Styela clava: one gene and its partner. The protein of the gene in region 1 purifies or fractionates together with the protein of each later gene. This does not show direct contact. Links are inferred from orthologs where the notes say so. Each region holds a gene or a part of one and is shown on either strand. Other genes may lie near its edges.

Region 1 (17,184 bases):
AAGTACCGGTACGGTACCGTACATGTCTTAACATTACCAGTTTCCACATCACTTATAAACAAAAATATAACTAAACAAATACGGATGTCTTAACATTACCATTGCGCTGGCCTGGCCCCGAATATTCTGAGGCCTGGCCCCATTTTCTCCGTGGCCTGGCCCCATTTTCTCTGTGGCCTGGCCCCATTTTCTCTGTGGCCTGGCCCCATTTTCTCCGTGGCCTGGCCCCTTTTGTGTGGCCTGGCTCCAAAGCCACAAAAAAGTTATCACCCCTGTTGATTTATGGGATGCAATGCAGTTTGAGAGCAATTTTTAAATGTAAAGTATTGGGGTGCATGGGTTTGATGGACAGTGGATGCAGAAATAATATTATGCAAGATCAACACATTGATGAGATTTTAAATAAATCCATCATGCTATAATATCAAGTTTCCAATGCAACCACTGGCCATCTCATGACAATATGTAACAGATTTCATTGTAACAGATTACCGTATTTACTAATTTGTGTAAAATGATAACATAGATGGAAAATGTAGGAATTTAATGGTAAATGTATCTGGTCTGAATTATTCAATATTTGTCTTATCTTTTCATTGTATACTTATTCATTGTATAAAATCACCTAAATTACATCACAAAAATAAAAATAAAATTTGGACCTCATGCAATAATATTGAAATATATATTTGGATACACCAAAACTATCATTTGTATAAATCCGATTTGGCAATGGAATTAAATTTGGCAAAAAAAAAAAAAAGTTTTAATCTTTTTAATGTATGGTACATCTGAGCATCACATAGATACAGCCAGTACAGCTGTGCTTTTATGTTCTGCATATTCCAGTATTCAGATACCGGTATTGGATTTAAGCAGAAGACAGAAAAAGGTGAATAATCTATAACAGTTGATGCTGATAGTTTTTAGACTTTGGGTCATTTGTCAGTATTTACATGTTTTTTGATGGGCTACGGTACCTTAGGTATATAAGTTATTTATTTTCTGTTTAATATGCTGATCTTTTTATTGCACTATCCCAATGTAAATAATTTAATCAATACCTTGATTACATACTGTCAAAATGGAAAACAGACTTTTGTCTTAAAATTCAGGGGAATACAAATTGTCTGAACATTGGATTTACTTCAACTGTTGCTCTGTTTATCTGCAATTTATTATGACTGATTTATGTCATCTTTGAAGTCAAGTTCCCTTCATATTCATTTGCTTGAAAATTGGTAAAAATCTACAGTGGTCTAATTCGAATTTCATGGAATTTGTAAAAATAATGATTCCTATGCTGCGGCAGTAGCATTTCTTAAGACAAAACTCTCAACTAGAAATAATTTTGCATATCATCATTTCCCATGATACTCAGAAAAGCAATGTTGCTGAAACGATTTTGCACAACCACCAAATTCCAGACATTTTGTCTGATATTTTCTGTGTTTGGAATGCTGCATATCATGTCAAGTATATCAGAGTTGAAAATTTTACAACTCAAATCATCATCACCAGTGACAACAGTTGTGAAAAGTGGAAATAACCCTGTTTACTGGCTTTCAGCAAATAATGCCGACTCTGGATACATGAACCATGTCAAAGAAACTTTTAAAGCTGTAGGATTTGACAGATGGAATGAAAAATCTGGAGATTGGGATGTAATGTGGTCGTATGAATACCCATTCGGAAAAGCAATAACAAGTACTACGTTGAAGCCGCATCAAAAAGTGAACCATTTTCCTGGATCTGGGTATTTGACAAGTAAAGGGTATCTCGCTATGTCCAAATCAAGGTATATTCCACTTGCGTTTTCTTTACCACAAAATTTAACTGATTTTAAGAAATATATTGAAAAGCATCCGGAAAAAATGTGGGTTCAAAAAAATAATAAACACAGGGGAATTAAAATAAAGACAAAAAAAGAACTTGATTTTAGTGCACCTGACTCGTTTATACAGGAATTTGTAAGGAAGCCTTTTCTTGTGGATGGACGAAAATTTGACGTTGGGATTTATACTGTGATTACTTCCATTAATCCACTAACTGTGTACGTCCTTGATAATGAATGGTTGATAAGGTTTTGCCCTGAAGATTATGAACCTTTCGATTCTGGGAATGTTAGAAAATATGTGGTTGAAGATGACTATACTCCAACTTGGGAAATGCCATCTTTAAAGACGGGTTATAAGAATATGAAGCTTTCACACAAAGAGAGCTTGCTACAACATTTAAAAACAATTGGCCTTAACGAGAAAAAAGTTGTTGATGATTTATATGCGGCCGTGTCAGAGTTGATTTGGGAAAAGCAGCCAGATATTATTAGATCAGTTGGGTATTATCCCTATGGTACAAGATCGTTTTTTGAACTTGTTCGTTTCGATTTTGTTCTTGATGAGGATTTAAATGTTTATGCAATGGAAGTGAACATGTCACCTAATTTATCTAGCGGACATTTTGCCGATAACGCAAGAATGTACCGACAAGTTATATTCAATACTCTATCACTAGTTGGAATCGCAATGCAAAGGGAACACTCCGCAACGAAAAATATATTTGAAGAGGAGATGTCTGTTAGTAATCGCGATATCGTAGCTTACCCAGAAGAATGCTTGAAATGTAAATATTGCTTAGATCATATTTGCAAACTATGTAGTCAATGTATGGTAATTCCTGTTGAAAGTAGTTTGAAAATTGCGTATAAACATCATGTTAACAGAAGAAATTTCAAGAGAGTTTATCCCAAACCACTAGGCGATAAAGATTTGGCTTCATTGTACAACCCAGTAAAAGATAAAAGATTAAGAACTGATTTAGATAAGATGCTTGCTCTTTGGTATAAAGGGAAATGCTTGCAAGACCTTTCTTGGTGTATTTGAGTCTCAAGTCCACATTTGATGAATCAGATGAAAACTTATTTCATCTGATTCGAAAAATTGCCTGACATTTGGTTAATTGAACATTAGAGGAAGAATAGTGAAATGGAATTTGGGGCCAAATAAATAGTTTTCATTTCTTGTTTGGATTTGAAGAACTACTTTTGAGTAACTTATAACCAATTTTTAAATCTGCGGAATCCATACGTTCCATAAATTGTAAATACTACCAAGCTGTCGTACAGCTCTCCCTACAAGGAGGTTACTACTCAGCGAATACCATAATTGCACTTTGATTTTAATCGAACATTTCCCGCTTCGTCTCACTTTTACTATATGTACTTGTTAATAGCCTGATACATTGTTTTGGGTTACCAGTAATTATTCTGAAATCCCTTTTTAGTTCCAAGTCTAGGACTAACTAGAGACATGCCTACAACCTCATATATAAATAGTTAAGTTTTATTCAAATAATTCACACGTTCTACCATATATACTGTATTTGTCGATGCCTCAATACATTGTTTTAAGAGACCATTAATCAAAGTAAAATTGCAGACTTTTGAGTCCAGGACTGTCGGAGGCATGCTCCCTACCTCAAACATAAATAGAAGGTTGGTTTTATTCAAATAATCCATGCCATTCATCACATGCATTTGATACCGTCTCAGTTTTGTGATTTTGGTGGTATATTCAGGAATACTTGGTTGGAGTATTTGAGTTCAAGCACTGTCCAGAGATGGCCACATCTCTTCACCTTATACAGGCAGTAATATATTGATTATGTGGGCTATGCTAACCTGGAAAACAGTCATTATGAACTTAGGTAATTACTTTGTACGCCTTAGTTGCTGTATTGAATGTCTTTCAGTATGATATTATTATTCTAAAAAAATTGTTATTCTAATCATGACATAATCCTTTATTGCATTTGTTCATCTTTTTGTTACCCTGCTGTGCAATGATATTTAAAACTCGTTTAAAAGGGGATAATAATTGTGTTTTTTTTTCTATGTTTGCATTGCATATTTACTTCCAATAATGAACTGTGCATTTTTTTAAATCAAATTACCTAAGGGTACATATCAAATTTATTTGTTCATTAGATTCTTGTTCATAATATTTAGTGCTACTTTAGCTTGCTATCACACTAATGCATGATATTAACCATCCCATATGGTAGGATCTACTTCAAGCTAGAAAACAGATAGTGAGGCGAAAGTATGTTTATTCATAAAAAACATGTTGAAAATACGTGGATGGAACGTGAATAATGAAATAAATGATAAGTTTTAAAATGTAAATATCCAAAATAAATCAGGCAAAATCAAATCTAATTAATACTTTTTTTTCCACACCCTTTCAAAAAAATTGCCATGCCTTTGTGGGACACACCCCATCGTTCGAGAACCACTGCGCTATAGCATGAGTAATACCTCAAGCCAGTACTATAGTGTGGGGTCTACCTGAAGCTAGGAAGTTGCGGTAAAACTTCTGCAACATTTTGAATCGTTTTTAATCGATGTTAACTGGTTCGAGGCTGCACTGGGTAGATGACATATGGTGATAGGCGGTAGCACTCGCGCTATAGTAGCACCAGGTATTTCTGAGAGACCATGTTGTCCAGGGAAATTCGCTTTTGATGAAAACTTTATGTTGGTAAATATTTTGGGTTCGCCAGTTCACCCTGTTGCTTTGGCCTATCTAAGATAAGTAGAATAGGCTACTAGACCAGTTTTAAATTGGACTACTTTGAGTATTTTTTGTTTTTCTTCTTTACACTATAATATGGAACATATAATTTATTTCTATAACACATACTTGAATGACATTTTTTTTTAGCAAAATTATTAGAAATAAATATTTTTCAAATACATACTTTTGTTCTCATTTCGTCTGTGAACTGTCACCTCGTAGCAAAATTAAAAAATATGGTCGCAATTTTAACTCAAAATCATGCATTTGATGTTCTGAAATTTGATCCATTATCATCTTATTCTAACTGTGTAGTTTATAAGCCTATTGAAAATATATAGAGCACAATTGGCATAGGTAAAATGATCTAATTTGCCGAAGTTTCAAGTTGACTATTCGAAAAACTTGTCATGGCATGATATGGTAAACCTTAGCTTATAATAATGTGTTTCGCTCCTTTCTATAGCAATAACTAAAAATTTCGTTTTTTTGTTTATTCATAGTTTTTATTCATAGTGTTTGTATTTCTCATTTATCAATACATTAAAATTTAATTAACTAACAATTGTTATAGCCATAAAACTATTTTGGCTAAGCATAATTCTACTTCTTTATATTTTCGGAATTTTTTCCCACTCAGAGATTACGGTAGTCTCTTTTATTTCAGGGTGAGCGCACGAAATCTTCCTCTGATTTATTTTATCCACATCATCTTGCGTACTCACTGATACTCTCTATGACAAACAAGATATTTTCCTGCAACAAATTACATTTTGTTGCCTACACGCTGATACTCAACAACGATAACCCTTGCTCTGATATTTTATTTTATATGAAATAAATCATTTGATTGACATATTCACTTCTTTTCTTTATTTTTAACTCTATCTCTCCTACCTTATATCATGAATGCATTGATTTTTGTTGAAAATTGAATATTGCAAAGTAACTTGTAACAAACAAGGATCATCTTGTAAATAATATACTACTGGTATCTACATTTTTATTAATATTATTTTGTATTTTATGTAAGTTATATCTGTTCTGTATATTTGGAATTCAAATGTATATAATTATAGAAATTTTGGGAATTTTAGCGAAGTAAACGTGTAACTCTTAAAATAACGTCAAACAGGAATATGATGTTAAAATACTGTCAAAACTGCTTGAATAGCGCCAAACAGAAATGTGATGAAAAAATTTTTATGTTTTTTTTTAAAAAGTCTGACGCGGAATGAAATTCTTGAGAGACGTGATTAGTAAAATTGAAATCCACTCAATTTTCAACTGAGCAGCTATACCATGTCTAATAGGGTATAGTGGTTTGTGCCAAACAGACTTGATTGAAAAAAATAATGAAAATTTGGGCTGTATTTTTGCAGCGCTTTTTTGTTTGGCATTATTTAATCAGCTTTGGCCATTATTCTTCATCACCTTTTTGTTTGACGGTATTTGAGCACTTGCGGTGTGTACTTCGTTAGACCCAAATTTTGTCATAAATGTGAGGTTTTTCTTACATCTCGATTGGCAACAAATGTTATTGCTGCCTAAAAGTGCTGTTGGTTCAGAAAAGTGATCCGACTTGCCTATATTTTGAGCCATTCAAAATACTCATTTCAGGTTGCTAAAAATTTAACTTTGACTCTATACTGCTCGATTATAAAAATGGCACTGCTGCCTAATTACACAATTTATTGTGCTGATGTGCTCTATTATCAAAGTCACAATGGTCATTTAAAAAAAAAAGAGTCATGAGTAGGGGTGGGCAAAATCGAATATTTTTTTCGAATCGAACAGTTCGAATATTTTTCACGAATACCGAATAGTCGAATAACGAATATTTTTTTTCAAATACAATGGGGTCCGTCGAAGGTCGATACTCCCTTCGAAAATAAGAAGAAACTTTGAAAAATCGGCAACAAAGCGTTTTTTATTTACTGGTTAAATTCATCAAAATCGCTAATTGTTTTTGTCGCCGCGATCCTAAAGTTCGTAATCTGTATTTCCGCCTGATTCATTTTTTTGAAAGTATTAATTCTTGCGGGTCGGCGGACATCGAAGTTTTATGTATTAGGTATACCCGTGCATTGCCTTTGAAATTTTTTTAAAACTGTAAAAGTCGCCAATAACGCGTGCACTAGCATTTTGCTATAATCGCCGATTGTTATTATCAGCGTGACGTGTTATTTAGGTCGTAAACAATATGAGTTGGTTTATCTTCAAATCAAATAAATTCAACAACGTTGTGCGACGTTAACGATGATAATTATTTTATTTTTGTACACACAGGGAATCGCGAATCCGGCGAAAGTTTAATTAATATACGTTCATCGGCGGCGAGTTTCTCCAGGACAACGCAAATTTTTTGATTGAAAAGCGGCAATATAAAATACTGAAAATAAAACTTTAAACAATATGAGTTTTATTGAGGTTGCGACAGTTTGAAAACGCCTTTTTAGACATTGAAAATCGCAAAATTTCGTGTGCCTCTCGCACACATTATGTTTGGCCGGCGTTTAGAAAACATATCATCACTAAAATCGAAGAACTGTTAATTGTGGGCGGGATTGGCCATATTATCCATTACTTTAAATTGCCCTCGAAAATTTTCATTTCAACATTATACAAGGTTTGAAACGGACAATTTTCTCCGGGTTGTGATGATATATATAAGATAATCAATCTAATGTATATTCAATCAATTTTTATTGTGCTAAAATAAATTTTAACCTGAGATATTACAGCAAATTTATGGATTTTTTGATGTTATAAGTCCTGAAAATAAAGCTTTATATATTCGATCAGTTTACCACACTTTATGTCCGCAGATTGCCGTGGTATTTTAAAATTGTGAAGATTTTATTTTGTAGACTCAACCGCTGGTTAAATTGAAGACAATAATAAAACAAGACATTTTAAATATGCTCTTATCGGTCACAAATTGATTACTTTGCACAACAGAAAACTCATTATTCATTGCAAAAGTCGGCTCTTATAACAAGTGGCCTAATCGCGGCGATGAATATGTATTTTTGATTAAACGATATACTTTATATGTATTTTCATTGTTCGAAATGAAATTGTACTCTAGATACAGGATTTTATATCAGTTATTGAGATTTTTCTAACGGCGAGAACGAGTTCGCAAGATTCCAAAAATACTTATTAAAATTAAATACACCCGGCAGTTTATCTCATACTTTTATGTCCACAGATCGCCGTGGCATTTCAGAGATGTAATGTTTCAATTTTGACTTAAGAAGAAGCAACCGCGAGTTACGTTTGACATAATTAAATTAATATATGAAGACATTTTGGAATCCCATAGTTGTCATGATTTGATCATTTTACGCAACAGAAAAATCATTATACGCTGAAAAAACTTCTCTTTAGCGCGCACGTAATCCCGGTGACTGTTACAGATGGCAATGAGAATTTCCGATTTTTTAAATACATCGTCATACGTTTATAATTTACAGAACAATCATAAATTAAAGCAATGGTGGGGACCTATTTTGCAAAAGAGGGAAATGAAACGATACGTTAGGCGTGAAAAGAAAACAAATAACATCATAACGCAAAGAAAATTTGTCGCTTTTGTATGTTAGCGAGCGCCGTTTGTGAATTCTCGGGCAATTCACGATTCCGAATTCCGTGTTGAAGCAAAGCGGCGCAGGTCACGTGGTACCGGGTATTCGAATAGTAAAATGTCATTCGAATATTTTGCCCAGCCCTAGTCATGAGTCATGACAAATTTGAGTGTTTGTCCTCTGATTTAATTTTCAAAACCGGATCAAGTTTTGAGCGATTATCTCCCCAATTACTGATTTAGCTCGGCTACACAATTGGGCGCTCCAATGGTTCATGAAGACAGTCCCTGAACTCGTAATAGAACTAAAATAAGGAGAATCGAATAAAATTATGGCCTAACCCTAACCTGGTACACACATTACAGGGGTACCCACAATTGTAATCTGCTGATAAATATGGCGGCCCAATATACCTCTACGACAAGGACCATCTAAATCTCAATTGGAACCTTATAACTATACCTATTTATATCTTGAGTCTAACAGCCCTTTACATATTAGAGTTTTTAAATAAGAATTAAAGCCATATATCCATACTTATCCATGATCTTGTGTTTTCATTCTTTTCATAATTCATGTTCTTTTTCACTTTATAATAGGAAATATTATGTCTTAGGTTATGCTATTAATTAATCTGAAAAATGACGGGAAGATCTGAAAATGGTGACGGTGATGAAGATTTAGATTTCGTTTATGGCGATTGTGACTCGTTTATAAGTGAGTTAGGAGAATTGTACAGTTATACAGAGGAGAATGAGTTTGCTTTAAACCAAGAATGCTTCAAAGAAATCCTCGGTGACGAGAGAAAATGGATTGAAATGACTTTGGAAGAAAAGAAGGTTGTGATTATGAAGGCAATGGATGGAACAGACGTCGTAAATTCTGAAAAAAAGTTTCGAGCTGTGAGAAGTTTATTATACATTGCACAGGGTAATTTTACTGAATTTGCCACCATTGAAGAACTTTTGAAAAGTTCCAGGAAAAATTGCTTTTTATTGTATGAAATGGGAGTATTTGGATTGGCAGAAGAATTACTTCTAATGGAAATACATAAGAATGAGAAAGAAATTCCTGATTCGAAAAATCCAACAGTGTGTTCTATCGTAAACAGTTCGGAATTAAGAATCGTGATTAGTCTACTTTATACAATGCTCGAGACTATTCGACAGTTTGAAGAGAGCGATTCTGAAAAATTCAAAAAAGCAAGAGATGCGTTCATTACATTGTTAAATCAATCAAATAATGGAAATGAATCGCTTTTCGTCGTTTTGTTCAATATGGTTACCAAGTTCTGTAACCACAACATAACAGCTTATCCAATTAAAAAGGTTCTTTTATTATTATGGAAAGTTGTCTTGGCGATGGTGGGCGGGCTTGATGATTTACACCAGTTAAAATGTAAGAAAAGAGAGGAGGCGGGGCTTCCACGTTTAGCAGAAAATCCTATTGAAGTTGCTAGAAAAATGAAAGCGTCTGCTCCACCAATGAACGCAGCGGATTTGTTCGACCAAGGTCAACCGGGGAGGAGAAAAAATCGCAGAGGAATCATACGTGGACCAGAAGTGGTTGAAGTTTCAGGTTCGGAAAATAAATCTGAATCTTCTGGTGATATTGACGTCGATATACACATTCCTGGAGCGGATGACGAAGATTCTGAAAAAGAAGAAATGATAGAAAATGGAGCTGATCTACTCCCAGCCCCTTCAGATCAAAATGAGGTGGAAAAAACTGATGAAGACATCATATTTGACTCTGAAATCGATGCCCCTGTTCCCGGAGGAGGAATTGATACTCCAGCAGTGGGTATCGGAACGCCAGCACCATTTAAGAGGGATCCAACACCGGGTGACACTGCCGCAATCGCTTTAAAATTAATGAAAATTAAAGCAGAACGTGAGGAAGAGCATGCTCTAAAAGATCTTCATGTTATCAAAGTACCTTCTGGGCTTCACTGGACTCCTAAAACTCGGGAACGAGATGTTGAGATCTTCTTATCTCAAGTCCGTCAAAAGTTTGTCGGTTTTCAACTTGAAGGTGATGTAACTACTATGGCTGGTCTTCCTACGCCAACTAAGGAGAGTGTTAAAATTCTTCGAAAGCATTTATATGTTTCACTTGCGGAAAAGCAAATTGAAATTGAATCACAGATAGGAAAATACCCCCTAACAAAAGCAAAATTGGATGTCATTCCTGATAACTCGGCGGAAAAACTTTACCAATCAATTCTACCAAATTTACCACAATATATGATTTCACTTTTGAAGATCTTACTTGCCGCAGCTCCGACATCGAAAGCAAAAAGTGACGCAATCAATATCTTAGCTGATGTTTTGCCCCCTGAGATTCCATACTCTGCAGTTCAATCAGTAAGATTAGGAATCGATGTCAATCGTCATCGTGAAATAATCGTTAAATCAATTTCAGCAATTTTGCTTTTATTATTGAAACATTTTAAGCTGAATCATGTATATCAGTATGAATACATGAGTCAGCATCTTGTGTTTGCGAATTGTATTCCTCTTGTTTTAAAATTCTTCAATCAGAATATTGTCGCTTACGTTACAACGAAGAACGTCATTCCTTCATTGGAATATCCTGCTTGTGTTGTTGGAGAGAAAGTGGAAATCACAGGTATGGAGAAATTATAGCGAGGTCCCCCACTATATTGTTTATTATTCGAAGATTGTTCTCTCGTATTTTGCATTCGAATTTTTGGGACAAACTCCCTCAGAATTTCAAGATTATGTTTGAGAGATAATTGTGAACTGTGGTTGCTTTCAAAATTCATTAGTTAAAGGTTGAAGTATTTCTTAGAATTCTATTTTTTTGTTTTGTATTATCAGTCCTTACCATTGTTCTGTAGAATTTTTTAAACTCATATTTGCAAATTATTTTTAAGACAAAATTCTGCTTGTCTAGTCGCCTTCATATTTTTGGTAGTTAGAGATAGATGTTTGACTAAGGAATAATTGCACCAGTATTGTTAAGTATTTAATATTTTTTCAGCTGAATCTCTGGAACCAGTTGACACCCAATCTGCAGCCTGTTGGAGAAATCTATTCTCGAGCATCAATCTGCTCAGAATTTTGAATAAACTTGTAAAATGGAAACATTCAAGAACCATGGTAAGTGTAGTAGTGAGGTGTCTCTCTCTTACGAATCCTTGAACAAGGCTCTGTAAAAGAAGCCACTGTGGCAGGAAATGCGTGATATTAAAGAACTGAACTCTTAAACTGTTTTTTATTCAAGTCTTGGCATCTGGAATAGTTAGCTGATCAACTATCACCATAACTTGAAATTTGGGCCGCTTTGCCTGGGATTCTCCCAATTCAGAGTCTCAATTCAAAGGATTTAGTCAACAATCTTTTCAATTTCCCAATAAAACTAGAGAAATAACAGAATGAAAATAATTTTTCATGACTCTCGTTCATGTCATTCTCTCTGAATCCCATTGTGTTACATGCCCAACAAAGTGACACCCTGTGAAATAACCTTTCAAGCAATGAAACTAATAAGAACAGGTTATTTTCTTGTAAAGGGAAAAGTGAAATCAGTTTTGCACCTGGTATTGTAGTCCCCCCTCATACTGCTCTGTTGCCCCATTAGAGGGCCAAGTGCCGCGATTGGGAACCTCTGCACTAGGCTATCACGTCCACAAAATAGAATCGAACATGCAACATTTTTTCAGATGCTTGTGGTCTTTAAATCATCACCAATATTGAAACGAGCATTAAAAGTCAGGCAGGCAATGTTGCAACTTTATGTTCTCAAACTTTTGAAATCTCAAACAAAGTATCTTGGCCGAGCATGGAGGAAGAGTAATATGAAGATTATGTCGGCCATTTATCAGAAGGTACTGTTTCAGTATTTGGTGGCGACTTGTGCCTTAAAATCCAGCAACGTATCTACTTTCTATACAATCATAATTCACAACATCAGACCCCGCTGATGTATAAGCCATCTCTAGGGTTGCGCTGCTTTAACACACTTACTTAATGTTTGAGCTGATGAGAGCTGTTCTCATTGCCTATGCATGAACCTCTTTGTACAAAGCTATACAAGTTTTGGCGGCGCAATATGGAGGTAACTAATTTTGTTTGCCTACTTTACATCAAGTTGTATAAAGGGATTCATTACTATGGGCAGGGGGGATATTCACTTGGTTAACACAGACAGTCCCCAAACTCGTAATAGAACTAAAATAAGGAAAATCGGAATAAAATTAAGGCCTAACCCTAACCTGGTACACACACTACGGGAGTATCCATGTTTCTATGATTTTTTTATATAATTAAATTGGATTTCGAGTTATTTTAGTATTTGAACCTGGGTAAACATTCACTCTTATCCAGAATTTTGTTTAGCAGTGTTATAAGAATTCAGGTACTTGACTCTACTCGAGTCACTCTTTATTTATCAAAAACTGAAAGTATTGCTCGAGTAAACTGAATGGAATGAAGTTGGACTCAAGTAACCACAAGTGAGACATAACCCAGTGATTGACCCGACCTCAAATGACTTGACTCCCGAGTTTATGGACATCTAACCAGCACTGCTTGCTCTTCATTTAGTCTGCTCCCATGGCTTCGTTTTTTTGTGATATTATTTTTCTATTTTCTGTTAATGACCTGCTTTTTTATCGTAGGTCAGACATCGCTTGAGTGATGATTGGGCTTATGGAAATGATGTTGATGCCAGACCTTGGGATTTCCAACAAGAGGAGTGCACGCTTCGAGCTGAGGTAGGAAAATCCATTCTTTTTCTTACATTGGTTCGCTTCCTTAGTATCCATAATGGTAAAAACCTGAGTATTGTTATAGATGAACGGGGGGTACTGCAGTAGTGTATGTGCCAGGTTAGGATTGTATATAATACATACGAGGAATATTGTTACTGATCTAACATTGAATTTTACCCAGTTAGGGTATGTACTGAGATTTATAGGGGGAAAAGTACAAACATAGGCGCAAATTAATAAAAACAGAATTGATTATAGACTCGATAAAAATTACTCGAGTCCAAAAAATGCGTGGATTTTACTCCAATCCGAGACCGGATCCGAATCTCGGCCCATCCCTACCCTCTACCCATAGGTTTCAGTCCCCTTACATACCTTGATGTAAAGTAGGCGAACAAAATTAGTTCCCTCCATTCTGGTACGTATACTTCTGGAGCGCCGAGCAGGGAACCACAGGTGTTGAGAGTGCGAAGGGATCAATGGATCGTAAAAGTTTGAGACTGGACTGGACTAGAATATTTTCAATTTGACATACTTATTTGATACATCCCGCATGGTTGCATTTCATTTCCAGAGAATCACTGTGCAGTGCCTACTCTATGGTCTTATGGCATAGTTTGAGAAACGCTGTACTTCTGATTTGACTCTAATTCAACACAACCTACATGATTGCATTTCATTTCCAGGTGGAAAGATTCAACTTCAGAAGATACAAGACGGACAGTCCGACTATTATTCCTCCAAATCAAGACCATGAACCGGTTGACAATGACCTTCACAGTGTCCTTGGAGAGAAATTTGACCTTCCAAATGAGTTTGTGAAAAACTATGATATCTGGTTGGAACGAGAAGTGTACTCTACAACTACAGATTGGGACCAGTTGCTTTCAATATCATGTGTGCAGTAGTGAAGATAACCTCACTATTCTGGAAACATTAATCTTGGGTTTAAATCCCCTTCACCCAGTATGCTCCCCTGCTTTTCATTTTATAGAAGGGGGGTAATGTATTTGACAGGCCATCTACATCTACACTGAAGAATATGCCATATTCTATATATTTGAATGAAACTATACTTAAGTTGGGAATTAAAGTTTGGTATCACACCTCAAAGTTAGGGGGGATGTTAGAAATTTTATAGGAGGGAGGGGTGTAGGGAAGCCACTGCCTTCACCTTAACCGGGGTAAAACAAATTGAATTGTAAATCTTGAAAAGGGAAAGTTTCCAGTCCTTTCAAACTACAGCAGCTTCTTACCTAACAGTGGTTGCTTGTTAAGAGCAAAGTGTTCAAAGTGAAGGGCATAAAAAAAAGTTTAAAACGTGTCTGGATGTTGAAAGGCTTGTTTTCATCATTTGATATTTTCGATTATTAATGAATGTGTTGATCTGTAGCGAACCCTGTATGTATTCTCTTTCCTCTATGCGTGGTTTAAAGTGAAAGACATAAATGCGCATTCCGAAGAAAAGTTAAAAAAGACACGTTTTCTATCAGTTTATATATTTTATGATGAAAGTGTTATGAATTATGATACATAGAGGTTATTCTACATGTTATCTTTTCATATTTCCCAAGGCTTGAAATTCATTATTAGGGTTATAGATAAATTCTACATGACCGTCAGCTCTGAGCCGTCAAAAAGTTCAGTTTTTTCCGAACAGTTTTGAGTTTTTTGCTTTCAACACTGATGAAATTTGAAAGTATACCTCAAATATTAGATTTTTTTTTGAAAAGTAAAAAGTAATAATGGACCTGAATTAATCAGTGCTTTTGAGTGATTTCAGCATTTTCATAAATTCAAATTTTATTTTAAAATTTATTCAGTTTATTAGGTTGATTTTGATTCATGGTGAATGTAACCGTTCGATCATGTCTGTCTATTTCAGTGGTTCTAAAACTTTTTTAGTCGTGCCCATCTCAAAAATAACTAACTGATACAAATAACAGATAGTAAGGCGAAATATGTTTTATTCAAAAAACACGTTGAAAGTATGTGAATGGAACGTAAACATCCAAACTAAGTAGGGCGAGTTCAAATCTAACAAATATTTTTATTCAGCTTCACGGCCCCTCAAGAACCCACTTATGAGAACCACTGACCTATTTGCTTGGCATTTGTAGTACTTGGCGTAATTGATATAAACAATATGTTATATCTTCAACTCAACCAAGTAACTTACATGATGTGCAAAAATGATATTTTTGTAAAAATTTTAGAAATAATTCAGAATATTTATTTGAAATGATTTTGAGCAGTTGAAGTCTCATAGTATAAATGAAATGCATACAATTAATATCTGAAAACCAATAATTTCACTATTTATCGGAACTTTCCTGCATTCGGATCCAAAATTAGTCTTGTTTTTTTATTCACTGTCAAATCTGAAAGTTCAGAAAAGAGCCTTAACAATTTTTAGAAGTGAAAACTGTTGACTTACTCAAGAAAATATAATCTTTATTTGCATGTGCTTCAATCGATTGATCATTTTTTTAACATAAAATATTGTGCAGTTGGAACTTGTCTGATCGTCGTTTTGACTTAACTATTTTGAGATAATTGGCGGCAGCAGCAGTCGGTCTTTAATGTAATCTCGAGTAGTAAGCAGCATTAATTTGATTAGTACGCTTCTCACCATCGAAAACAGAAGTTAAGATTTAAAATTTAAACCTTGGGTGTCGCTTTGGTTTCCTGCGGCTTCCCTTCTGCAGTAAAACTGTTTAATTATCAACATCATCTTTTTACTGGTTGAAAAAAATTAACTTGACTTGATGAGACCACAGAATTAAAGTCATTCGAAAGTAATATGGACCTCCAAGTCGGGAAGTTCTGTGTTTGTTTTGATTGACCCAAGAGTTTGAAACATAGGATAGGATAGGATTTACATATTTATCCCGGGGGAGAGGAAAGCCGATAAGACGGCTTATCCATATGGCGAACCACGGCCTCTCGTCCGGTTACCATTCCAAGTCGGGTTTGGGATTAGATTTACTGTATTGTTTGTTTTCGGAAGCATGGACTTGGTGGTGGAGGAAGCCGTAACCGACCAGCGGTTACGTGAACCACCCAACGACGGCGAGGAGTCCAGCAATCCTCTCGCACATAACCATCCCTGTATGGGATTCGAACCTGCGAACCCACGCAGAGTAGTTAGAGGTGCGGTGGCGAGCGTATTCCTAACGCTTAGCCCGTTGAGCCACATGCTTGCAATTAGATATTTTTAAGAGGTTTGGGGAACTCAAAATCGCTGAGTTGTGGTTCATTCAGTGTGAGGAGACTCATCCGAAGGAAGACTTTCAAATAACAGTTTGATGGACTTGACTTACGGAAGATCATTTTCAGGGAGTCTTTGAAATAGCAAAACACCCGGGTAAAATACAATTTGCCACTTATAGGTATATTGATCAAATCGGAATTTTACAAGGTTGCAGTAATAAATATAAATTAAACGTTGTTGATACACAGTGTGTTTTACCTTCAAATTCAAGCTGGTTTAACGAAAGTATGCAGTATCAATGCAAAATTGTATCATATTCTGATATTCACCCACCCCCAGTGTTGTGAAATTTACAATGACACGAGATTCTGAGTTTACCACTCAAGTGGGTTCGTCATGTAATTCCTTTCATCCCCCAGGATAAATACAAAGATCCTTCTGAATACCCGGGAACAATTGCAGTGTTATAAGCAACAAAGGTTTCACTTTCTCTTGAATTCAACTCATTAATTATTCAACAAGAACGTTACGACACAGACTCTCCAATAAGCTATTTGTGGAATTAATTTTCAAGGACAAGAGGGCTTAGCGAGTTCCGATACTAATTTTAATTCCGCCACACCAGTATTTTGAAAGCATTATGGTGATTATGCACTTTGAGGGGGTGCCAGGTATTCTTATAATGAAAATGTGACACTAAAAACCAGACCAATTCTCAGCAATTCGTTCGCAATATTATTTTTCGACTCATTGCAAATAGATTATGGTTTGAAAGTAATTATCAGTTTATATAAATAGTCAAATGTTTAAAATACACGAAATTCGCAAGAATTAATAGTAAATAGTTTTCGAAAACAAATCTGAATCTTTGGAATTTGTTTGGCTGTACGCAGCCATATAAATGAAAAATAACGATCTTTTATCAGTTGAGAAGGAAACAATAATATAAGAACACAGTGACCCCCCAGAAACGGAACACATGTAATATGTTCCAGCACATTTATAGGGTTGAGTTTGGTGATTTGAATAATTATAATACAAACATTTCTCTCCTACTTGACCTAAATT
Region 2 (16,062 bases), on another chromosome or scaffold:
CGAAATGCAGTATTGAGTCAATAAAACACTAAACATTTTGCATGTTACAAAAACATCTGTTTCCTGCATTTCGAGATTCTAAAAATGAGAATTTCGTTTTCAGTTGGACTTGGATTGCAGTCTCAAAAATCTTTTACATCATTTATAATACTAATTACTAGTGAAGTATACCAATATAGGACCAAGTGGCAACCAATGGCTAATAGTAGAGTCCTCAACAACAATCACCAAAATGTGAAATTTCTTTCCTTAATTTTACATATCAGGTGAATCTGAGTCAACCATATACTTTTGAGGGAGATTCGTTTCTAGTGAGGAACCCATCTAATTTTCCTGTATGTCACGTATAGTTTATAAATACTGGGATGTTTGTGACAACGAAAAGCTCAATGACATTACGTAAGGTAAGTCATATGGTCAAACGGCTTGTTCTGACATATACAGGCTTGAAATAAAGGCATTCAAATCCACATTCACATTCATGTTCTAAGGACCAAAGTGTGATTGTTTGGGAACTCATCCAGGAGTGAAATATTCTATTCAGTTAGAAGAACTATATTGAGTTTCAGTATTTTGATCATACAGAAAATATCACCAATACACATGATTTCAAAAATTTGAAAAAAAGTTGCCTATGAATAATATTATTTCTCAATAAAAGCACAATTTTCAAATTTACATTAGAATTGATATGAAATACAAAGAGAAAAAAATATTTTCGATACCTTCCTCATTTTTCATATCAATATCAGAGGATAGACGAGATGGGGGTAATCCATCTGATGATCCTTGCAGTGTTTCCAACATACTTTGAAGATCTTTCTTGACTGGCCCTGATAAAATGAAACAAGTTGTGACCATTTTGTGATACAAAAGCGAAAACAATTATCAATTCGGGCTCAGTTGGACAGTCAGTTTGAAGGTTGGGCTTCAAAGCTATTCTTGTGCAATCAATATTTAATCCAACTGGAAATTTTTTATTTACATTCGTGGATCATGGATACGAGTACATAGTAGTACTTGTACATAGTAGAGATGTACCGATGTATATTGACATGACCGTCTAGCCCTAGACTGTCTCAAAATATATGATAGCAATTGTAAAATATTATAAAATAGTAAAGTAAAAAAACATCCTCGATGGTTATTTATAGATAGTAGGCTTTCTTATTGTCGGTGCTGATTGATATTCTTTCATGTTGGCTTTGACTTATTGCGTCGACGATTACGATTAGCCACGTAATAAAATATTAGTAAAATGCTTTTAATTTGAACGTAGGACGGCAGAGCTAGAATGTGTAGGTGATATTCAATATTCTTTTGAACTTGAATAACGATATTCGAATGTTGCGATATTCACATTAAATTCAAGTTAAACATCCCGGCTTATGAGTTTTCTAATTGAACACCGAGATTACTAGCGTTACTGTACAATGTATCTTAATCAGTTAAAACATATGGATACCAAACATCAATTTCATATTTTGTGATATATCTTTTTTCGATCTGAAATAATGTGTACTATTAACAACGCTCATAGACTATTGTTTTAACCCGTCTGCCCTACACAGCACACCTAATTAGGTAATAATTACATAGTATCGGTATCGGAATATTGGTAATATCGACATTTTTGTAGTATCGGCGTATCGGTATCGGCGACAAAAGTGGTATCGGTACAACTCTAATACATAGCACTTAGCAGGACTAATTAAACTATTTTTACATATACATAAAAGCCAAATCACTGATTACTTACTCTGAGATACAATGTATGATCTTGGTAGAATCACCTTCTTGAGTATACGATTTTGAAATAAATGCTAAAAATATATTCATTTTTTTTACGACTTACGATTGAGCCCCTTTTTCTTAGACTGTTTTTTCTCCTCTTTAAATTTTTCTTTTTTGGCATTAAGCTTGTTTCTATCAACTTGCCATACCAACAGCCCAGAGTCCACTGTAAAAAAAATTGTTTGATGTAAAACAGTAGGCGCTCCAGAAGAGTGTACAAATATGGGAAATAAGGGACAGAAAGCCATGGACAGGGGGTATATTCACTTGGCTAACACAGACAGTCCTTGAACTCGTAGTAAAACTAAAATAAGGAATAAAATTATGGCCTAACCATAACCTGGTACATACACAACGAGAGTACCGAAAAGTATACACTACACAGGAAGTGTTTTAATAATAACCAATAAATTCTGATTGACCAAGTATTGTTCGAAAATGAAAAAATCACTTTAACATTTCCAGTTAGTCGGCATTGATTGGTTCACACTCATTCTATGCGAAATATTTAAAAATCTTAAGTAAATTTTCTGTGATTTACAATTAGCATGGTATGTACCTAGTTCACATCTAATTAAATAACATACCAGCATCATTTCCTTCGGTGGCAGATAAAAAATCAAACTCAGCAAGTGCAGAATCAGTTTCAGTTATATCACATTCTAGGTCTTCTGGAAATCGGTCTTCATCATCATCGTCATTATCATCATCATCATCATCGACAAGCTAACAATAATATTATAACTCAGCTTCGGAAATTGAATAATAAGTAGGCATGAAAGACACAAAGTATATTCTATCCCAGACACGGGCAAAGTACGGCCCGTTGAGTAATTCAATCCGGCCCACCCGATGCTGCCACAGCCAAACTGAAATCAAATCTTGATGTTTTAGCTAAAAATAGCTCTTGGAATTTGTTGAGATTTTTAGTTAAAAATAGTTATGGCATGAGACGCATTTTTTCCACCTTTGCTTTGTAATACTGTAAATATTGTTCATAAAATGTTACTTTTTTCTATGTCCCACTTTGTCCGCCAGTCCAAGTGGGCAAAATTTTTAGCCCCTGATTCAAAAACCGTGCCCACCCCTGTTTTATCCTTTTGCATGAAAACACTCCTATTAACAAGGAAATTGGTCGTCTTTGACGTGAATTACAATTTCTTTAAAAGTATGCGTACTTGAAACACATATTGACATGCATAATAAATAACGTGTCCAATTTGCAGATATAGGATTGCTTTCAAAATTTACTGGTCTATAAACTTGTAAAGAAATAATAAACAGATACATTTTTGATTCTGGATAATTTTTGTCGGTCTCCTGCTCCAGAGTCTATTTGATCAGAATCATTATCATCGTCATCGCCCATCTCATCATGTAGCGATCCAGTCAAAAAATCGAAGTTGGTCATTATGTCTGCTTCAGAAGGGCTGTGTAAATCCAGAAAGAGAGAGAATATTGAAATATTCTTAACAAAAAATGGTTCATGTATAGTCAAGATCAAGAATGACTCTGCTAATTGAATCGATTCAAGATTTAATTTATTCCAGAAATTTCAAATCTTGATTATCGAAATAATTCAGAATACGTTCATTTGAAGAATTATTATTTCGAGCAATCAAAGTCGCACAATATGAGAAAAAAAAATAGCTCCATAATGTTCCATTTATTTCATTATAGGTTCATTTCCGTGGCTCACACGTGTGTGTGGTACTCAATATCCATATTCTGTGACCATGGTATTCGTTCGTATAAATTTTTCGATTTCGATTCGTAGAATCATGAAAGCATGGTTTACACTTTACAGAATGATCAATTTTGCATTGTTAAAAATGACTAGAGGTTTCATTCAATTCAAATATCTTCGAGAAAATTGCACGGTCCGAAATATATTCTTTCTAATAACAACTACACATGTAGTTATTAGCATCTAAGTGCACCTCGGCTATCACTATCAGTGATCATGCAACTTCACTCGAGAAAATTTTTAGTTTAAATAAACAAAATAGAAAACAAAACCAGTGTTTGAACAGTGCTTAATAGAATAACACATATAGAAAAAAAACATACTTGACAGAAACATTGTTATCTTTCTCTGAGATTCCATTTACAATTTTGCTTTTGTTTTGAGCACCGGGTGAAGCAACCTCATAACTTTTACCAAGTAATGCTCGTACTCTTTGTGATCTCACGTCTAATATTGTATCACTATAACCAACTTCTTGAAGATACCTAAATGCAGTAAAAAATATTATTAATAGTAAGCCTACTTCTTTCACTTGCACTCTATATAAAATAACATTGAAATAACAGCGATCAGGTACACAATGCATTACTTTATTGACATTTTAAGGGAAATATGGGAGTACATTGTACATTCACATCATATGAACAGGCATTGAGTGGACACTTGAACAATTTAGCCCTTGGTCTGAGTGAAAGAAAGTAGGTCAATGTAAAGAACCTGAAGGATCATTGAAGTTCAAAGATACATGTGAGGACTGACAGAAATTGTGTGGAAGTCATCATAATATGATATAATTTTAAGATTATCTCTAGAGCTGGTATTATGGAATAACAGCTGTCATATGACCATTCCATGAATCTTTTGATTAAGTTGAATTTAAAATCGCTTGCTTAATTGAAGTTAACCTCACATTGCATAAATCTGAAGATATTTTTTTTTGAAACTGTTTGTGTCTAAGAATGAGAAAAGACTTGCAGTTCAATACAGTTTTAGCCTAGTACCCTCTGTTAGTATCTGGTTGCCCTGTTTCTGTTGTAATAAAATCATAGCCTATCCATTTTTCACCTACTAGACCAGTGTTTCTCAACCTTTGCGAGCCTGTCTGCGTGGAATATAATAATTTTCACATACCGGTAAGTGAAAACTGGGTAATGAAATGACCACATGGTGAAAAATTTTTTCAATGCACCTTCGTCAAACCCCTGGGACAGCTCCACCGAACCCAGGTTAATAAGCACTGTACTACTAGAACGATACCATTTCCTATAAATGTTTTAGCAGTTAATTAACGGTGTCGTTACCATGCTATTTTTTGCTTTTAATTTTTTCCAATCAGCAGTACTTGAGTGGGTTCATTATTTTACCCCCTTTATGCTATTTATATAAATATAGCTTGTATTCAATGAAAAGCATACGCACATGCCTGTTGAAATCTATTACCAAAAGAGTACTTCCTGTCATATATAATGAGTGTTGATCTTCTATTGTTTTCATATCAATACCAATTGGGTAAGCAAGACATTTCAATGAAACAAATATATTGATATAACAAACTTACTGTCTTAAAAGTTGTCTTCCTTGTCTCCATGACATCTGCGTATTACCTTGTGAGATTTCTTCACCAAGCTTAAATTCTGAAATACAAATGGTTAAAATCAGTGATGTCTGGTGGAAGTTGAAAGAAAAATTAAAATAGTATTCCACTCAATCACACAAATCATGACAAAAGATCTGAAGAACACAATATAAAATGGCATAATTATAATAATTCCTAACAATGGTAGTACAAAACTCAAAAAAAAAAAGATCAAAAATAAAAAGAACCAAAAAGGTTGATATCTATGATGTTAGCAATTTCTCTTTGATAGAGATCACAGATTCACAAGAATACCAAAATCGTTATTATTTGTGTGAGAGGCCATACTATGACAAATGAATGGAATGTATTAAATTCATATTTGATGTTCATATCCACATATGTACAACAACATCCAACAAATACAAATTTGCAGTCAGGCTATTATTGAAAGACCAATAGGGGTAACTGGAACTTTTGACACACACTTTATCCGTAGATAGATAATTATATTCATCAAAAATATTGTTTGCCCATGTGATTTACAGGAAGAGGCAAAATGACCAATATCAAAATGAACGGAATGGACTGAATATTGCAATATTGTTACAGATTTACTGACCCGGAATGAAACTAATATTAAAGATTGATACGAGGACACTGATATCAGGCCGTTATATAGGCTATAAATATGGTTGGTTTGTGAGAAATTATTGAATTTACCTGTTGATTCATTCAAGCTATCGTCCTCTGGTCCATCACTACCAAACTTGTGTTTATGTAACTTTGCTCTAAATGTATCAGAACATGTTACAAATTGTTTGAAAAAACATATTTTTAAAGAAAGAAAGAAAGATGCATGTATTAAATATTAAGGCTCTTACAGTAAATATGTACAGGCTCGTGAGAATAGCTAATAGAAACTTTCTTACAAAGCAAGAACTTATGAAGAAACATTAAGGACAAAGATGCTATGCTACTCCCTACTTCGTCTACTCTTTACTTTTTTAAATGAGGAATTAGATTAGCAAAGTTGCACATAAAAATTGATCAGTGTTCACGAAATCTTACTATTAATTTAAAACGTTACTAATAATTTGTGCACTTTATTAAAGAGGTAAAAATTGATTTAGTCCATTGAAGTGACAAGTATTATAACAGATCAATTGAATTTATGAAAATAAATTATTTAAAAATTAGTTGAAATATGAAAAAATAAAATCATTGAATGCAATAAAAGAATTTTTTTCAACCTTTCTTGTTTCAGTGCAAACTCTAGCATTTTGATACGCCTGACCAGATCACGTTTCAGATTTTCTTGGCCCTTTCTTTCTCCTTGCAAAAATGCAATACGAGCCTAAAAACATAACAATTATCAACATTTTACATTCTATAACATTGTTATCAAAAGGTGATTAGTTAGGACATATCTGGTTGAATCAACAATGTGTATTCAATAAACATATCTGGAGATAAAGCATAGATGAGACTTCCAAATGGGATAAATGACCTTGCCCCAGTTGTGACCACTATTACCAAGCGGGGATGTGGAGCCATAGTTTGGCATGTTTTTTAACTGGAGTCATATTTTCAAAATGATTCGAGTTCAAATTTATAATTTCATAGAGTAAGAGGAGTGAAAAATGCACTGCATTTCACAGCCATGAATACCGCTAGATATCAGTCCAAATTTAATTAATGTCAGTCAGTATCAATACTACAGTCGCTGTATGTCTGGTATAACAATGTCAATAAATCTTGAGATGTTTCTTGAGTACAGCATAACAAGGATTCATTTATACTTGTAGTTCTGCCTTTTCCACTTCCCACTGTGCTCTGTCCATTTCAAACTTGGACCACTCATGCTGAATGAAGTGAAGTATTCCTGGCATTGTATATCCTGATTTTAATTCAACCTAAAATTAAACAAAACAATCTGTGAAAATGGACAGAACTTTATTTATTCAACAAAATATCACTCATCTAGTTCTATCTTTACTTGTTGTTTAGCAAATTGGGAAGGGGATAAATTGAAATGAATGATGTTTTTGTTATTTTTCCAACTGCATGCAGTGTTTACAGAAAAAAATACAGAACTAATATCCACAGTAAACTACAACATTTTAAATGAATATTATCAGTGGTTGCGAAAACCAAATGATTTACTATTCAAATATACTTTGAAATGGGTCTGTTCCATTTTCTATATTAATAAAGTATTGAAATATACTCACGTGTTGATCATCTTGATTTCCGCTCCCATTTTGGCCATTGATGGGAAGATCGGCATCCATATTCATGGAAGAATAAAACATCAAACTTTTCAAGTTATCAAAGGCATATATAATTAATTTTGTGACACTTTCAAATGTATATTTAATACAATATGCTATTAATTTGTTGCTGTACCATGAGAAAATTGAATATCTTATTTCATTACAGACACCATATTCATATTCATTATTTTGCTACACAGCTATAGGCTACTGCTACTCCAGTACTCACTGACTTGTTGAATAGCCACATAAGTAGTCTTTTCTCATTTCAGCCATTGCGACACACTTATATTATTGAAGAAGTTATTACAGTGCAGCAGTATTAGGATATGAAAAATTTAATGCTGGGCAATTCCAGCGTTACTTTCATAAATACAAAATAAGCAAATACAAAAAACTTAACATGGACATAATTTAGTCTACTTTTTAAATTGATGCTAAACGCAAATTTTGTAATTGCTTTGCAAAGGGTTTGTTTACTCTGAAATTTTACAGTACCTAGCCTATACCGTATGTTATGGTCATTTTTATCTGCTTTTTAAATAGTACGGTAATATTGGGTGTTTTATTTTCAATAATGATAGAATTTTTCATAATTCAAATTTTATATCACACTAGTGATAACAAAAGAATAATTGAATTACAATCCCAGAATCCTGAAATCTCAGAATCTACAATCTGACAGTATTTATATAGCTAAATAAATGACAGAATGATCATTAAAATAAAATACAGGAATCTTAATTTATAACAAAATGTACCTATTCTAATTAATTTTAATATAATTAAGCAAGCAAAATCATCATTTCTCTTTGTCGTAGCCACACCAAATTGCCACAATAACCAGATCAGCAGATACGATACCGGTCACTAAATACAGAAATAACAGCACTGACAATCTATCACAGTACGGTATCAGCTGTTTTAATGGAGTACAGGATTAGGGTACGGTACAGCTACAGGCTCATGCAGTCAAGTTTGCAAGTTCAAACTGCTGGAGGGTGAAAAATTTGTATGCCGTTACCGTACCAGTATCGCGAGCAGTCAAGTTTCGAGAATACGGTACCGGTACCGGTACCGGTACAACTCCCCAGACTTCATGAATCAGTCTGCAGAAAGAAACCGAATAGGCTACGAGCGATAATGCTATGTATTCTGAGAAATACCTGTCTGGTTCTATTCTTTTTTTATGGTTCCACAAAGTGAATTATTATTAAATAAAAAAAATAAAGACATCTATTTAGCCTGCTTCTGTGTTTGGTGATTTTGGGGTCGTCGGCTATTCCGTTCTCTCGCTCGGGCCTCTCTCAGTTCTTTTACATCTACATTCAGACATTCTATTCAATGCAATTTATTATCGCCACTGGGAGTCGTAATTTTTTTTAAATAAGAACAAGAGATTTTCAGCAACATCAATGACATTAAACATGTCAATGACATTAAACATGTTTAATTGGCCATTTAATGTCATGTTTAATGTCATTGGCAACATAAACCAGTTTCCCCGATCATAGATATCCTTGTTTATAGTCGTAACAATTACAAATCAGCAATAAGTTACCAATGACGTAACAATTGCAATTTGTGTAACCGCTCAGACATTTTTTTCGCTCAGACCAATGACATTAAACAACATGATAGGCAACTCTGACGTCACTCCATAAGACTACAGGCAAAACATTGTATTTCATGATACGCTCCAATGCACATATTTTTCGTCGCCTTTCGCGTCCGTTTTCCGCTCGCTTTTGCTACTCGGCGTCTTTTTTACGTGTAGTACCTGCCTTTTTGCGCCTGTAACGAAACAAAATAATCTCTATATCTAAGAAGTTTTGCTTACTTGGAAAGCTGGAATAACAGGCAAGCTGTAAAGAGCAATTCTGGACATCATAGACGTTTTTTTTTTTTATCAGAGAAGATTACAAACGCGATAGCGGAAAGATTTGTGTGGAACATTTTGCAGATAATGACAAAGTTCAAAGTTAGTAATTTTAATGTTTGCGCTTAATCATTGAAATTTCATTTAAAGAGGGTGTCATACAAAACTGTGCTGCGATACAATTCCATAACACAAAGTTTGCACCTATCGAACTTGCTTTTGTAGGTGAATTTATTAGACATATTACATATTCAGTTAATCGTAGGTAACATTGCTGGTACATAATGCATCGTAGATAGGTTTGTTTAAATTTAGGAATTTAGCTCATAGCCCACTAATTAATATTATCTTCTATGCAGGAGGTTGCAGGGCTGAATTCAACTTGCAGCCTTACCGATCACCTGACGATGCTCATTTAGTTTGGCTCGAGCAAGTCTTCTTGAAATGCTTGTGTGGATGGAAACTACCTTCCTCCGATTTTAGACAAATTTATTCTGAGGGATTTCGCATATAATTCTCACTGATTGTTGGCTGTTTATAATTCCTATTGATTGTGAATTCTGATTATTACAATGAGTTGGAAATTTTTTTACCTAATTTACTGGCACCTTTTTCTTGTCAATACTCCAAGCTGAGGTAATAAACATGACAATACATTTATGTCATCTGGAAGCAAAATATGCACACTAATTAATAGTTTGGCACATTGAGATAATACATCATGACAGAAAATACAAGTTAAAGATATGTATGACCATCACATGGTAATTAAAATTAAAAAAAATTAATAGGGGCTGTGGAGTATGAAAAGTTCAAGACAAAGAAAAGAACAAATGTTCATAGCTCATGAACTCTCAATTTTGCCTCCATCGCTTTGTGAAGGCCAATATATTTCGAGTGGCTGAATTGGTTTACCTTTATGATAGCAACGATTTTGTTTTTAATATAGCGAGATTATTTCAATTTAATTGAAGTGATATAATTTCCCAAAGCAATGCTTGAATCGTCTAGAATAGATCAGTGGTGTCAAACTCATGGGTTTTCGAGAGCCGCAAACAGTTTTTGATAATGTATACTTAAAAGATATTTTTAAGATAGTTTTAGTTTGTGACATATATTGTGATGCAACTAAACAGTTGGATTAAGTTTTATTATTTTCTTCAATTTCAAATGCAATTACATATTAATATTTGCATTCCACTATTATTGCAACATTTGCAAGTTACAGTATTTATTATAAAAAATCGTAAAATTCTATGTACAACCATCAAAATCATTTTTGAACAAGCTTTGAATTAGGAAAGAATAATACATACACTAAAAATACCTTAATCTAAATATATGAACCTAAAATTGACAAAAATACTACAGTATAAACTCAATGTTTTAATAATTACATTTGTCCTGGCGTTTGGCATCTTTTTTGTGTCACCAGCATACTAAGGCCAGTCTGAAATGATTTTATAGTACCAACTCTAACTAACGAGGCCACATGATCATGGGTTTATCTGGATCTTTACGAATGTTTAATTAATTCCAGTAATGCAAAAAAGTTACTTTTATCATTTCATGTATAGATCAGTAAAAAACAAATGACAGATTTTTTCGACAAGACATTTCGCACTACATTGCGTGGCATAGGATTGCTTGAATTATTATTGATATTGATTTTTAGTAACTAAGTCGTTGTATAATTATATTAATATACAAACACATGGAAATTTTCTGTTCGAAGTTGGTCTTCGAATTTGTCATATTGACTGCTGAGCTTATTGTGTTTTTTGATTGTATTGATGGAAATATGACAAATTAAACAATGTGCTTCAGAATTTTGTGAAGAGCAGAAATGTTACAACTCCCATTTTCTTCGAAAATGCCACCTTCTTCATGTACTTTGCGTTTAATTTAATTACTCAAGTGTTTTATTCAAGTATTCTTTTGCTAGCTTGATGTGTATTCTTAATTGGGTCAAAATGTGGACAAAAAAATTAATATTCCAAAACTACTTTCAGTAAATTGTTTTCTGTGTGAATAATCAATTTCACTTTAGAAGGTTTGAAAAATCTATTACATTTAGATAAAAAAAAAACTTCCAAAATACTATTACAATTATTGTTAAGCGTTCGAGGGCCGCACTGGAATGGAAGTTCTCTGGGGCCGCGAGTTTGAGATCCCTGGTCTAGATTGAAGTTGTTCAAAAAATATATGATAGTATTTTATCATGAATGATGATTATACCCCTTCCGGAATTTCTTCTATAGTACTACCAAAAGTTGATGAACCAAATATAACACAGGTGCAGTGAGGTACCCGTAATCCTCATTTCCAAAGCTGTTTTAAGTATGTCTGGCGTGTTTTGTGCCTTTTTACAAATAAGACCGCTTATGCAATCTTACGCTTTGGAATTTTTAGTTATTTTCCTCAAGCCCTGCAGGATGTGGGGGCCATACACAACTCTACCGGAGGGTCAAATGTCTTTGCATGCCTCCATAGGTTGTTTTTCTATTGCAAATTTCTATTTTCAATTGCATTATATTTCTTGGAATCACACTGTCACTGATATGTCGCCAGACTTCTGATATCTCCCCGTCTGCTATAGTTGTCCTGTGAATAAATAATAGGAAATTGAGATTAGACGAATAGTTGAAAGTTTTGCTTTATGTCGGCTTAATTTTTTGATTGATATACTTACTATTTCTGCTATTGCCTCTTGTGCTGCAAGAGTCTCACAATGCTTAGACAGGTTTGTCCACAACTTTCACATCTGAGGAAAGAGAGGAGATTTATTAATTTTCGTTAAGAATAAATAAAGCAGTCTATATGATTCAGAATGGAAAAGCTAATAAATCCAATATCTCATGTTTTATTTAAAAAATATTTTACTGAATTTGGTATATAAACCAACTAATAAAAGGGTTTAGTCAGAAAATTACAAGCATTCGTGCCTCCAAATACTTGAGAAATCAGACTATACAATATAGACCGGTATGAGTGAAATGTTAGGTGAACTTGTTAACACTTTGATTCAATACGCAAATAAAAGTGAATGCGTAATAGTATGTTACAATGAGCAGCAATCAACAATGAGTATATATCCTCACTGATTCAAAAAATCTAACTGGAGGTGCATGAACTATTTGAAACCATAAGGGGTAAGTAAATATGTAATTTCGGCAAATGGGCAACTACGTACCGTACTGAATTAATAACTTCGTAGTATTTGACAAAGGCTGGCTTTCCCACATGTACTTAACAGTGCGATGCCCGGGTGTGATATACAACAATAGTATTCACCTTACCTTTTACCGATTTCTTTTTACCCCAACTTTCAAAAATATCATTAAAATCGACAACAACTGTCAAAGCAGGCACGAACACCATTCGTGCTACGCCTTGAAAGCAGCACACATCCGCTCGTTTTCGTCTCGTCAAGTATGTGCATTGGAGCGTGCTATCGAATACGATCTTCGGACAAAAATGCCGGAGTTGCGCATCATGTTGTTTAATGTCATTGCTCAGACAGACGGTATGTTAGTCGTCGGATAGACTTACAATCATGGGTGTAAAGGTTGCCATTTTTTCGTGATTTTGCGTGTTGTTGGCCGGTTTTCACTTGTGCTCCCAAAAATCAGCTGTAAATCAAATAACTTGATTGTCTTTTGAGACGCTTTAGTTTGGTTCCAGTATTTAAAAATTAGTCCCGGAAGAGCTGTGATAGACTGGGATAAAATTAGCTCTCAGTACCTGTAAGCGACATGTGATTGAATACGCTTCTAAAAAATGATGGTTTTTACCAGAAAAACCAGTTTGTAAGCGCCAATTCTCCGGAACGCTCTCAAAATTTTTGCAATGGTAAAGTATAGGGAGAATTTTTCTGGGTTCGAAGGATCGGGGAAATGTCCATTTTTTTGGCCGATTTTATGAATGCAAAATTGATAACAGAAAGCCATAGTTTGAATATTTACAAAAATTAACTGACACTATAAGAAATAAAGACAAATATTGTCACTGAAAAAGGGTAAATACTCGAACATAGCAAAAATAAAGAAACTGTACTATGTGGAATCTATTCAATTTTTTTATTGTGTCTGCATTGTTGATTAATATTAATTCTTGAAATATTGTTTCATTTTTTTTAAATAATAAAAAGCAAGTAATGGAATTTAATGCATGGATGTCAGCAGTGGTAACTGATATTCATTCTACAGTTATCATATTTATCCAGGGTATAGGGAAGTCGATAAGACGGCCTAATCATATATGATGCCCCATGTTTTGTCATCAAGGGAATAGTTAACCAGTTATTTGGTACAAAATTGTGGACTTAATGATGGCCAATACGTTGATTACTTGAGACTTGGCTTTGTTTCAATTGTCATTCTTTTCACTCGAGAGTTTTGGCCAGCATTTCATACCTAAATATATATAAGACACATTCTGATCGGTGCCACCTGCACTGCAACTAGGTTCCATGAAAATTTAGTTGGACGAAGTTACAGAAAAATTGTTTTGATATTATGCTGTTGCTGTTCTTGTTCTTTATTATATAATTTTATCGTTGTTTAAATATCGTTCACCTTTTTGATAACTGGGCCAATTGCTTTAAAATTGTCATTGGTCAAAGATTGTATTTTCCGCTAGAGGGCTATTTATGTATTTCAAATATTTCTGTGAGGATATTTTATGGAATTCGTTTTTGTGTGTTATGACGTCATCAGAAATTGCAGACTTTGCGGCGGTTCCGCGAACGCATATCAACGGATCTCTTGCTCAGCGAACGTTGGTGGATTTGTGCCTAGCGAAAGTGGGAAGTTTTTAATTGGGTACGAAAGACTGCGGTACCTGATCTGGTAATACAGAAGTGACTCGGATAAGTTAGTATTTCAATTCACGTTGATACTAAATCGCGAAGAATGGATCATTGCCACAGGACCTGGCAAAGCTAGTGTTTCGTTGTAAACGATTAGGTTTGAAATGATTGTACATTTTGCCTCCGTATGCAGTTCATAGTGCGCTGCCTTGCACCCAATTATTGAAGACCTATTATCACCCCTTTTTCTTTGGTCGTAGCCTAAATTAGTAATTTTATATGTTGTCTGGTGTAGCGTTTTCCTTGTCACTTTTGCATCACGTATTCGGCGTGTGATAGCCGCTTATATTTGTACATATTGTGGACTGTTTTTTCATCTGATATATATATATTGAAATTGTATTAGCCAACCGGATCGGAAAACGTTTGGTAAAATTTTTGCCCTTCGTTGTTGATATATGTATTGTGACTTGAGTTAATCAATTGTGTTTTATTCATTTGAGAAAACCGCTGATCTTTGCCAAGTATATAAGAAGGAGCTGATTTATGCCTGCGTCTTGTTTGTGAATAAAGGGGCTGAGAGTGGCGCGTTTGATACGTTTTCATTGTTTCCAGTCTATATAGATTGCGGGCTTATCAATCAAAAGACGTGACAGCTAGGACAGTCCCCGTTACCATGATACAGGTACCTTTTTGTTGAGTTACCGCATATGATTTTCGGGGAATTGATGATAAAATATTTGGTTTTGCTCCCTATAGGGCCTAGGCCGTGTGACGAGCCACTGAAAAACAACCAGAAAATTAGTTTCGTAGCGCACGTGGTAACTAATTGAATACTTTAGTTTTATGTGAAAATGCACATACTGAACGCATTACAGCTTATTCCCACTAATGAAAGTTACACATTTCCTATAAAACATGCTTCAAAAATCATGATGCAAAAATTGGATATAAGGGGATTCACCGAAAATAAATATCCATAGATAGGGTTACCATATTTTTTTGATTTCAAAGCGGGACGCCTCCAAAGACACGACCCCTTAGCTGTGATCCTGTAACTTTACAGTTTCCGATTTTACTACATAGGCCTATATTTAGAGCCATCCCGGCTGTCTTCGATGACCATAATATTGTCATCGAGAATTCATGCGCATATTCTCTGTCTAAATATCGGGTTCAGTTTGAAAAATAGAAAGAGAGAAAAATTGGAGTGTTTCTGGCAGTCGGAAGCCAAAGGCCATTTGCACCAAGGGATCTTCTGTGACGGACAAACTGCTTTTTTCAAGCGTGGCGGCTTCATTGCCTAGGGTAGTGAGCGACTGAGCGTAAAAGGAGTGGAGGTCTTTCTCGGCGAGTCGGTCGACGTCTTAACTTTTAAGACATAAGGACCGTTACGTCGTTCTCCGAGCTTTTCACTTCCGTTGAAAAACTACGGTATTCTAAATCCCCGGGGTATTTTACCCATCCGGCAAGTCCTTTGAATCTTAACTTTCCAGTCCACGGATGGCGGTTCCACGCGCGATAATTTTCTTGACAGTGTCGGCAAAATCTTGGACACTCCCTCGGGTTAATTGAAATTTGGTCTTCGTCGTGGCCTTGGCACACGCATCAGTGTGCGGGGCATACCAACTGAAGTCACGATATTCCAGATCAAATCCATGCTAGATTTCTTAAATATTGTAAAAGTTAGGTGGGTCTATAAAATATATTCAAAAAATACAAAAGTTTACAATGGCTACGTGCAAGCCATCGTTGACGAGTTTGATGTCTCTAAGTTCACAGGCTGCATCAAGGTTGGTGGAATACAATGTAAGACCTTTCTTCTCACGGAGCTATATATATATACTAAATCCTGCCTAAACTGTTTTCAATCCGGGCATCTGTTCCGAGAATGCGTTTTGCCACCATCCTGACGTCTCTGCAAAAAATCGAGGCATGTACAAAGAGAGTACTGATTTTCCAGCAATACCATCAGATGAA

What was found.
Region 2: the proteins of striatin-interacting protein 1 homolog (region 1) and striatin-3-like purify together in Drosophila melanogaster (affinity purification with western blotting; 4 studies listed by BioGRID, with this or other methods). This does not show direct contact. The link is inferred for Styela clava from reciprocal best matches to the Drosophila melanogaster genes Strip and Cka.

Annotation. Positions count from the first base shown.
Region 1 is NC_135258.1:5,850,777-5,867,960, forward strand, and holds striatin-interacting protein 1 homolog, read left to right. Parts: upstream 1-8,706; 5' UTR 8,707-8,805; coding exon 8,806-10,795; intron 10,796-11,170; coding exon 11,171-11,289; intron 11,290-11,852; coding exon 11,853-12,017; intron 12,018-12,809; coding exon 12,810-12,905; intron 12,906-13,588; coding exon 13,589-13,810; 3' UTR 13,811-15,418; downstream 15,419-17,184. Other genes in the region: putative tubulin polyglutamylase ttll-15, read left to right, coding at 1,371-2,882.
Region 2 is NC_135261.1:20,430,187-20,446,248, reverse strand, and holds the start of striatin-3-like, read right to left. Parts: upstream 7,532-16,062; 5' UTR 7,433-7,531; coding exon 7,352-7,432; intron 7,034-7,351; coding exon 6,920-7,033; intron 6,475-6,919; coding exon 6,371-6,474; intron 5,909-6,370; coding exon 5,841-5,908; intron 5,176-5,840; coding exon 5,100-5,175; intron 4,027-5,099; coding exon 3,865-4,026; intron 3,225-3,864; coding exon 3,083-3,224; intron 2,521-3,082; coding exon 2,382-2,520; intron 1,961-2,381; coding exon 1,856-1,960; intron 834-1,855; coding exon 726-833; intron 1-725.